Sus scrofa: one gene and its partners. The protein of the gene in region 1 interacts with the protein of each later gene in a biochemical or structural test. Links are inferred from orthologs where the notes say so. Each region holds a gene or a part of one and is shown in the gene's direction. Other genes may lie near its edges.

Evidence for each region.
Region 2: the proteins of UBE2E3 (region 1) and RNF25 form a complex in vitro, tested with the Homo sapiens proteins (2 studies listed by BioGRID, with this or other methods). The link is inferred for Sus scrofa from reciprocal best matches to the Homo sapiens genes UBE2E3 and RNF25.
Region 3: the proteins of UBE2E3 (region 1) and NEDD4L form a complex in vitro, tested with the Homo sapiens proteins (3 studies listed by BioGRID). The link is inferred for Sus scrofa from reciprocal best matches to the Homo sapiens genes UBE2E3 and NEDD4L.

What each region holds. Positions count from the first base shown.
Region 1 is NC_010457.5:86,554,411-86,558,065, forward strand, and holds part of UBE2E3 (ubiquitin-conjugating enzyme E2 E3), read left to right. Parts: intron 1-2,003; coding exon 2,004-2,136; intron 2,137-3,655. UniProt on the Homo sapiens protein: Accepts ubiquitin from the E1 complex and catalyzes its covalent attachment to other proteins. In vitro catalyzes 'Lys-11'- and 'Lys-48'-, as well as 'Lys-63'-linked polyubiquitination.
Region 2 is NC_010457.5:120,714,128-120,716,798, reverse strand, and holds part of RNF25 (E3 ubiquitin-protein ligase RNF25), read left to right. Parts: intron 1-80; coding exon 81-155; intron 156-394; coding exon 395-497; intron 498-589; coding exon 590-657; intron 658-761; coding exon 762-831; intron 832-2,552; coding exon 2,553-2,624; intron 2,625-2,671. UniProt on the Homo sapiens protein: E3 ubiquitin-protein ligase that plays a key role in the RNF14-RNF25 translation quality control pathway, a pathway that takes place when a ribosome has stalled during translation, and which promotes ubiquitination and degradation of translation factors on stalled ribosomes.
Region 3 is NC_010443.5:162,513,922-162,518,130, reverse strand, and holds the start of NEDD4L (E3 ubiquitin-protein ligase NEDD4-like), read left to right. Parts: upstream 1-1,311; 5' UTR 1,312-4,209. UniProt on the Homo sapiens protein: E3 ubiquitin-protein ligase that mediates the polyubiquitination of lysine and cysteine residues on target proteins and is thereby implicated in the regulation of various signaling pathways including autophagy, innate immunity or DNA repair.

The sequences.
Region 1 (3,655 bases):
GCATTGCTTACTTGATCTTTACAGTCTACAGTGTATGTTTTATAGAATTAATAAGATGTGGTTAAATCATTTAACCTATACCTGAATGTCCTATTGTAATTAATGCAGTTGCATTATCAATTCTTTTTTTTTTTTTTTTTTTTTTTTGGTCTTTTTTTGCCTTTTCTAGGGCCGCTCCTGTGGCACATGGAGGTTCCCAGGCTAGGGGTTGAATCGGAGCTGTAGTCACCGGCCTACGCCAGAGCCACAGCAATGCGGGATCCTAGCCGTGTCTGCAACCTCATGGTTCCTAGTCGGATTCGTTAACCACTGCGCCACAACGGGAACTCCTGCATTATCAATTCTGATATGCACTTATTTTAAACTAAACATGCAGATCATTTCTAAACTGATAGGTCACTTAAGAAAAGCTTTATATATACCGTAGTTCAGAAAAACAAGTTAATCTGTGATGTAAAATTGAGGGAAAAATGGAAATCTGTAATGTACATTTGAAGAGGGTCTAAGGAATATTAGATGTGTCTTACAAACAACTGAATTTGGATTTAATTTGAATTATCTCATTGTATATTATAAATTAAATGATAGTTTTGAACACAGTGTAATGTACTTGGAATTTGGTACTAGCTTGAACAACATTCACTAAAAGGAACCACAGCTCTTTGAAGAAATGGCTGATTCAGGGGTGGGAACGTGGAACATATTTATGCCAGAAAATAAGGAAGTGTTCCAAAAAACGATATGGGGTCATTTTGAAAGTATTTCCACTGGCCAAATATGGGGCAGTTTGAACATCAAAATAATTAAATGCAGTAAGAATTCTAAATCATTAGGGGAAAAAAAATGGAACTCATGAAACTTCATCTGTAAAACACATTTTTATACAAACAGGAAAAGAGAGGGCTCAAGGGCCAGCTGGTAAATATGGAGGAATGCTGAAGTTGGAAAATGATGATTTTATCACTATCATGATGAAGTTTAGTTCAACCAAGAATCGCAAATTGATGTTAAGTCCGGGGAATAAATTTGGTGAAGACCAGGGTATTTGCATGGTCTTAAAGTGTCCAAAGGTTGCTTATTGGTTGCAGAGGAAAGATACCAAGTAAGAGGTAGGAGAATGGGACAGCATTTGATCTGGGTAATGAAAATTAACATCACCATTGTACCTCTGGATGTGACACCTTGAGAACATAGCATCACTTATGTACTCTTCTAGCCAGGAATGCACTCTCTGCATCTAATCATGAGGAAATATCAGACAGGTTCACAATGATGAGCATTCCATTAAAAGAACTGCATTCTTCAAAAATGTTGATATTACAAAAGGCAAAGTAAGACTGAAAGGCTCTCTCTATTAAAGGGGACTAAAGACACAGGAAGGGCATAGACGATCAATACCAAGACTGGAATCATGTATCTGAAGGAAAACTAAAAATCTTTTGGGGCATTATTGGTCAGTTGACAAAATTATTTTGCAGATTATAGATATCATATAGATTGTACTTTTACTGAAATTATGGCTATATTGCAGTTGTATTATAGGTTGTAGAAAATGCCCACTGAAATATTTATGGGGAAAGGGCCATGATATATTCAGCTTACTCTCAAATGGCTCAGAAAAAAAACACTTTTTCTGTGTGTCTGTGGGGTGTGTGTGCTTTGTGTGTGTGTGTGTGTGTATATGTTTGGTGGGGTGTATGTATTTTAGGAGGGGGAGAAGGAAGGGAGAGAGGGAGATGATAGAACAAATGGAGCACAATGCTAACAGAAGGAGAGTCTGGATAAAGTTAAACAGGTGTTCCTTGTTCTTGCTTTTCTGTAAGTTAGAAATATTTCCAAACATGTTTATATACATATGCGTGCACAAGTTAGTTGGGGCTTATTTTTTATATATTTACTGTTTATTCTAGATTGCTAATTTGCCTTTGATACTTAATTGGTTTAAGATATTAATATTCATTGCTCACAGATGTACACATTGATTTTTAATTTCTTTTAAATAGTGCTGGGCCTAAAGGAGATAACATTTATGAATGGAGATCGACTATACTTGGTCCACCAGGTTCTGTATATGAAGGTGGTGTATTTTTTCTGGATATCACATTTTCATCTGATTATCCATTTAAACCACCAAAGGTAAGAACCTGGAAGTGCATTTTTTAATGTTCATTCTTTTCCAAAATTAATTTATTCTAGAGTTAAATGTGTGGATGCAGTTATTTTTATTTGATTGTTTTTCATTTGGAAACGCTCATATAACCAGGAATGTTAAAACTAGAAGTAATTGATTTCTTTCACAAATAACTTTGTAATCAGCAAGAGTTTGTTAATTGTATGCCACTTAGTACATCAGTAAGCAGGTAAATTTTAGACTTATGAGAGAAAAAAATCCTGTGAACTTTGTGTAAGGAACCTATTGAGATAAAAAGTAAATCTGACCGCTTCTGGAAATAAGAATTAAAATAAATTTGTGCTGAATAGCCTATCTTTATAGATCAGAAAAAAACTAGAAAACTATAGCAAAGAAGAGGGAACTAATATTATTTAATAAACTAATTTTGTGCCCTCTGTAATGATGAATTAATGGGAATGAAGATGGCTGGGTTATTTATGCCTCCTTGTTGTCTCTGAATATGAACTGGGTGGATAAAGAGAGAATGTTTGAGCTGTGCCTTGTGATGACTGGCAATTAATTTTCAAGTATTAAACATAGTAATTATTTGATTAGCTTTCTCCTCTGACTTCCCCCTATAAAATGGTCAAGACAACAGTTAAAAACCACCGATATTAAGCCTGAGCATAATTAGAACCTTGTTATGTCAGTGTTATCAAGCCCTTAACTTTGATAAAATGTTTTTCTTTTCAACATAGTTCCTTATATTCCCTCTACTATTTAACATTTATGTAGTGATTTAATGCCTCCACTCAGGTGCATGTGTGTTGTGTTTGTGTGTAAAAATAAAGGGTTTATTTTGTTTTAAAAAAGAAGGCAGACCTTTTCTGTTTTGCTTTATTGAATAAGGTAACAACATTTCCACCTAGTGGTATTTACCTTAAATTGCAGACACCGAGGTTCCCTATCACCAAGAGGTATTTGCTCTTAAGTATAGCTATCACTATTTTTTGAGTGCTTTACTATGTGGTCCCATCAGAATCTAAGATCTTGAAATGACTGTCTTATTGCAAATTGTGTTCACATTCCAAATGACACATTCTAAATGCCAGTATATCACTATTCAGTTTGCATTCAGTGCTTAAATTAATTGTTATAGCCACCTTTTAAGAGCTCTGTGTAACTAGTATGTGCTATGTTAGAACAATTCTAGTCGTCCTTACTCTTGGGGATACATTCTGAGACCCCAGTGGATGCCTAAAACCACGCATAGTACCGAACCGTATTTAATGCCATTTTTCCTATGCGTAAATACCTATGATAAAGTTTAATTTATACATTAGGTGCAGTGAGAAATTAACAATAACTAATAATGAAGTAGAGCAATTATAACAATATACGGTAGTACAAGTTATGTGAATGTTACCTCTCTCCAAATACCTTATACAAAATTGAATGCCTTTTCCATTGTAACTAAGTATTTGTGGCTGAAGCTTTTACAGCTTCAGGTACAACAGCAAAGCTAGCACACATTTCTTTTTC
Region 2 (2,671 bases), about 34 Mb from region 1:
CAGAGCCAGTCTTCAGTGGCCTTGGTGGGGTTTAACAGGGAGAGCTGTCATGGTGAGTCAGTCTCCCCCTGTCTCTCTAGGGTCCTTCCCTCTGAAGTTGAAGTGTTAGAGTCAATCTACCTGGATGAACTACAGGTGGTTAAAGGAAATAGCAGGTATGTATTTAACTAGAGGTGGGCAGGAGTCCCCTTGGGAAGGAGAGGACTCCATGAAGTATCTGAGTGCCTGGATTCAGATATTTCTGTCATGTAGACAAAGACTATTCCTTTAATGCCCCCCAAGAAAGAGCCCGATGCTTACTTCCTCTGGCCGCTTTCCTTTCTCACCACCATCCTCCCCAGCCCTCAAGCCCCTGCCCAGTCACATCCCAGGTCTCCACTCCATCCACCTGCAGATCGTCACCGTGGGAGATCTCCATCACCCTGCACCCCGCCACTGCCGAAGACCAGGATTCGCAGTATGTCTGCTTCACTCTGGTGCTTCAGGTTCCAGCACAGGTGAGGCCTCGACTTTATGGCAACAATGGGAGGCAGGGGAGAGGCCCCAGGGTGAAGTGCTTTGGCAGTAACTTGTCACTTTCTCCTCTTAGTATCCCCATGAGGTGCCACAGATCTCTATCCGTAACCCCCGAGGACTCTCAGATGAACAGATCCACAAGTAGGTCGGGCTGGTCAGCGCAGGGGAAGCTTGGGATACAGCCCAGTCTGGTGAGGGCAGGCGGCAGGCCTAATGTTTGCGTTGCTGTCTCTCTCTCTCTCCAGGATCTCACAGGCGCTGAGCCATGTGGCTGAGGCTGGACTGGGTACGGCCATGCTCTATGAGCTCATCGAGGTGAGAAGTGTGTTAGAAAAAGTCCTTCCCTTCCAGCGAGAGCAGTTTCTTTCAAGGGAGACCATGGGCCTGGACTCCACCACATCTGGAGACATTCATTTAATTATTGTTTAGGTAAAGCCTCAACTGATCCAGAGACATGAAATGCTCTTCTGTTACAAAAAGTCTCCCCGAAAGACAGTTCTTTCGCTTTGCCAAGTTAACTATTCCAGCATCTTTTTGAAGTTTTAGTGAAATATAGTTGGTTTACAGGGTTGTGATAACTTTTGCTGTATATTCCAGCATCTTGACAGAAAATTACTTCTCCTCTTTGACTTGCATCTTTTCTTGCTGCAGTGTCAGTGCATTTCTTGTTCTCTTGGCGTTGGCAGCTGAAAGTAGTAAGAGATCTTGCCTAGAGCTTCTAGCCATAAGTGAACACTTGACCTTGGTTCAGCTGGACCTTGGCTACAGGGTCTAGCCGTAAATGAACATTTGGAGGCTAGTTGGCCATTGGCCAACTAGAAGGTCTTGGTTCTTTTACTCAGAGAACCCTAGTGAAGGAAACGACCCACAGGAAACCATACCTAGAGCTCTGAGTTAAAATACACAGGTAACGTTGGTTGTTTGAGATCAGAAAATACAAATACAGTCTTGTTTTCCTCTGCGTTTTTGAGAAGATATGCAGAAAAGAATGAAGGTGGGCGGCCTGGAGTCCAAGTGGGCAAAGACCACTGTAGCGCTTCTGAGTCAGGCCTCCACAATGCAGCTTTGAACTTGGTGGAATTCCAGAGTATTAGCTATTCAAACAGTATCGCAGATGCATATTTCATAGCTCAGCCCAATGCCTTGTGAATTCTCTGTCCGTTTGGGGTGTCAGTGCCTTCACTTTCTTTCTGAAAGCTGACTCCAGAGCAGGGGGATAACCCGGAAAGTCCTCCCAGAGGATATGAGTTTTATTTGAACATTTTTTTTTCTCTCTAAGGTGTTGTATTTCCATCCCCAAGATGTATAAACGGTGACTTAATGAGTAGGAAAACAATGAAACTGGATTTTGCAGCTGGGCAGATTTGGGGGGAGGGCGAGGATGTGGAAGAGGATTAATTCCAAGCAGAGGGAGATCACCAAGACAGAAATAGGAGTTCCTATCGTGGCTCAGTGGTTAAAGAACCCAGCTAGGATCCATGAGGATGCCAGTTCGATGCCTGGCTTCGCTCAGTGGGTTAAGGATCTGGCATTGCCATGAGCTGTGGTGTAGGCCGGTAACTACAGCTCCAATTGGACCCTTGCCTGGGAACCTCCATGTGCCAACGGGTTCAGCCCTTAAAAAAAAAAAGAAAGAAAGAAAGAAAGAAAAATCAAAACAGAAATGCATGAACACGGGGAGTTCCCATTGTGGCTCAGCCTGTTAAGAACCCAACTAGTATCCATGAGGATGCAGGTTTGATTCCTGGCCTCGCTCAGTAGGTTAAGGATCCGGTGTTGCTGTGTAGGTTGCAGATGCAGCTCAGATCCTTTTTTGCTGTGGCTGTGGTGTAGGCCGGCAGCTGCGGCTCTGATTTGACCCCTAGCCCAGGAACTTCCATGTGCCGCAGTTGCGGCCCTAAAGAAAAAGAATCGTGTGAACGTGAGATAAATTGGCTTGGTGGGAACAGTCCAGCAGGTCACTGCTGGGAGAATGAGCTTTGCTCATAGTTCTGGCTGCCGCCTCCCTGTTTAAACAGTGTCTTCTCTCCCCGCAGAAAGGGAAGGAAATCCTTACAGATAACAACATCCCCCACGGCCAGTGCGTCATCTGCCTCTATGGTTTCCAGGTGGGTTTCTCTCTTGGGACCTGGGGTCTGCTCAGGCCAGTGGAGGG
Region 3 (4,209 bases), on another chromosome or scaffold:
GAATGATGATTCCTGCTATTTCAGTGAAGTCTGGGTGAAGAGACAGAAAGAAGCAAAAAGACATCACCTAGAATTCCCGTTGTGGCTCAGCAGTAATGAACCCGACTGATATCCATGAGGACACGGGTTCAGTCCCTGGCCTTGCTCAGTGGGTTAAGAATCTGGCATTGCTGTGAGCTGTGGTGTAGGCTGGCAGATACAGCTCTGATTGGACCCCTAGCCTGGGAACTTCCATATGCTGCAGGTGCAGCCCGAAAAAGACAAACAAAAACAAAAGCAAAAACCAGACATGGCCTAGTGGCTCTGACACTGACCCCGCAGTTGCTGGAAACAGAACCATCTTTTATTTCCTTGTCTCTTTAATGGTCCGGAGAGTGGGCTTTGGAGACGAGCAGGCTAGACCTGATGGGGATCCTGGTTGCCCTGCATACCAGCTATGGGCTCTGGGGCAAGTTAGTTAACCCTTCTGGTCTCGGCTTCTCATTTGTAAAAATCGGGGTGACAATTATACATCATAGGGTTGCTTTGAGAATAAATGAGATGATGTATTTTTGATATTTAATAAGAAGATAGTGCCTAAAAAGGAAACATGCAATAGGAATGTTTTGTTTTGCTTTTTTTAACTATTTACATGCTTTTACTGTTTTATTCTTTTTTTTTTTTTATCATTGCTGTTATTTTTAGGCCTTAGAGGTTTCCTCGGACATAGACCTTTGTGAGGATGTAGCCTTGATCTACAGGCATGAGGATGCCTTTTTAGCGGAGACTTAGGAACTTTTAAAAATAAAAGTTTATCTAGAAAAATAAATTTAAAAGAAACTGTTTAGAAATATCCTTTCTCGCATTAGAAAAGTGACTTAAACCATTTTCTCCTTCTTATAGGCCTAAATATTAGGTGTAAAATAATATAGCGATCAATCATAGAAAACTTGATTTAGTATATAGAGGATTTTCATAAGAGCAGATTGCTTATATTGTACAACTGATTTGAGTGCATTAAAAAGCATTTTATTCTTTCAGTCTCTTTTTTCATTCGTTGAATTATTTCTGCTCATTTTAAAAGTATTATCTGGGAGTTCCCTGGTGGCTCAGTGAGTTAAGGATCCAGCATTGTCACTGCTGTGGCTCAGGTCCAGTCCCTGGCCCCAGAACTTCCACATGCCTCAGAATAAATCAATAGTAACAATTATTATTTTTGTCCCTTACAGGTAAACCCATCTAATCACAGACTCTTGTTTGAAGTATTTGATGAAAATAGATTGGTAAGTGGTTCCTGATTTTTAATTTTTGCTTCATTTTTTAAAAATTGAATTTTCAGCACATCTTTAAAAAGTCTATATGTGTTTTATTTCTCACAGCATACATGTCCCTCAAAAAGACTATTTTTGTCCCATTACTAGTTTAATGTTCGTAATTCAAACAAATATTTTTGTGTGGGTAGGACAAAATTTATTTGTACCTGTGTAAGTTTTTAATCATAGTTAATATTCATGACCATCACACTGGTGGTATATCAAGCCATATATGCTTATACTCCTCTGTTGGGGATACAAAGAGGTGGGCAAATCTCATTACTCATGGAAATAAACCTTTCAGGATTTTTATATGTAAGCCAGACTTTGAGACTGTGACACGTTCAATAGTGAATCTCTTTGGGATGACAGAAATCTAATTAACAGTATATAGCAAAAAGTGAATCTATATTTAGCAGGTAAAATTAAGCTGTATTTTAAAAGCGGTGCTTTCTCAAGGGAAATTCAAAGAAAGTACCTTCAAAGAACCAGAGGTATGCCTAAGGCATAAAACTAGTACTAATATGTTGTATAGATTATAGGTTAAAAATACTTATATATGGTTGCCTGCATGAGGCAAATTCAAGTTTTGCTTTTTGGAACTTTCTGGAATTTTTTTTCTAGATATTTTTGATTTGCAGTTGGTTGAAACCGTGAATACAGAACCTGCAGATGTGGGGGGGGGAGTCCAACCATGTATTAATTGCTTAAAGGAAATGTTATTATGAATCCTTCCTTCTGCAGAAGTCACCTGAAACTCCAAGTTTTTGAATAGCTTGAGTTTAATAGAATATTTGATCTGGAGGAGGCTTATAATACAACTCATTTAATTCCCTGTCCTTGCATGTGAGAGAACTGAGATCTAGAGCCTTGATGTAATTACATACCTGCCCGTCTATTAAGTCTCAGGCCATTGGTGGTGAATAGCCAGGCCTTAACCCTTAGTATTGAACCTAGGAGTATATTTGATCTCCTATGCCTGGAATTATTCTCCAAATTAGAAAGCAACAGATGCTGGCCTACCATCCTGATATATTTTCTATTCAAATATACGGATTCTCGGCGGCTTTGCATTGAACTTGACATTTTATACCTTGGGTGATGCTTAGTAGTACTGAATAGCTAAATCAGTTTTGCCCGGTGCACGAAGTTATTTTGCTGTTAAATCAAATGAGAAATTCTGCTTGAGGGTGTAGTTCTTGGTGCTCCATCTCCTGTCCAGAAACACCGATTGGGCAGAGTTCAGCAGAGTCCCAGAGTCCACAGATGGAGCCACAGATTAATCCTTACTCTCTCTTTTATTGTGTCTTACAACATTTCTTCAAGGTGAAGAAATGGTCAGCTTTGTGGAAAAAACTGTCTCTTGTCAGATGTGTTTTAACTCATTTAACTCTTCTATTGAAAGAAATTCTCTGTAAAAAATGTTTCCCATTTCCCTTATCTAAAAGAATCACTGTTGTTGAGAGGACCTTGCCATGAGCCTAAAACTTATACTTCCAAGCCGAATAGGGCTTTGAATGCAGAGCTCTAAGAAATCTCATGTGAAACTTTATCTGAAAAACTGTTTTATGTACCTAGCTTTGCCCCAGGCTGTCTGCATCCTTGTTACTATGCGTGAATGCTGCTGCTGGTGGTTTTTTCTTTGTTGGCTATTAATCCAGCAGAGACACTACGTGACTATAGTGGTACTTGGCAGTTTTCACATTAAACAAACTAGCTTCCATTTCTCTCATAGAGATCATTTTTGGCATTTAAAACACATGCCTTTAGAAAACAGGTTTGGATGTATATAAACACAAGGTTAATCCTCCACACTCTGGACTCCAGAGCTGTTGACAAAGTCAACATATATTAAAATAAACTTTTTGTCACTTTTTGCAGCTTGGTATTCCCACATCCCTTCCCTTCTTACTTCCTCCGAAATAAGCCTCTTTGTTAATAACTCGTGTTTCAGGACAATGAAAAAGAGTATGTTTAAAACACTCAGAATATATCCAAGTTAGCTACAAATCCGATGACAGCTTTTTGAACGTGGACTTTCACTTTTATTACTTAGGTCTTTTTTGACCCTTCACAAAAATGTCAAGATTCTATGTTTCCCAACTGGGCTGATATTGCTGGCTTCTTACTGGAAAACAGTCAGCCAGCTCCAGTCAGCCTTTTTTTCCTGCATGGTATTGAAATTAACTTATTACAGAAACCACATGCATACCCTTTAATTTTCCTTCTCCTTTTTTTTGGGGCGGGGGTATTGTTTTCTCTCCTATCTGGCATATGGGAGAGAATGTTTTCTCCAGCTGGGTTCTTTTTCTCTGGTCACTAACATGTCCGAGAATCCTATTATGTGTGAGATGGTGTGCCGCCAGCACCTCCCTCCCCCATCGTTTAAATGAAAAACGTCGTAACCAGAGGCAGACCACTGCTGGGGAGTGTTGTAAGCGGTGCCCCTTTCCACTTAGCTATTTTGTTACTTGTAGGTCATGGTCTAATTATTTAGCATTAAATGGCGGGGTGTGTAATCGTATTTATAGTACGTTTTATTAGTTTGCATTCCATCATGGTAGTGTGGTGATATCATAAATAACAGGGCAACATAACATCCGATTGCTGGAGAAAGGGTTTTCCTGCAGCCCCGGCATTTTTACTCAACAACGTTTGGTTTCGTGGGAAAGGTGGTGGGGTAGGTGGGGGAATACTATGGGCGCTTTTCTGTGTTAGGAGCCGGGTCTCTCTCCTGCATTGGTTGGAGAGTCCCGGGGCCCTGCTTGGTTCAGAAAGAAGTGTCCTGTGAGCGCCAATGCGGTTAGATTTATAGCAGCATGGCTCGGAGTGTGTTTGCTGCCTTAGTCAGCTGTGAGAGCTCCCTGCTGGGGCCACTCCTGTCTGATGGAAAAGCAGCAGCTGGGAAGGTGCTGTT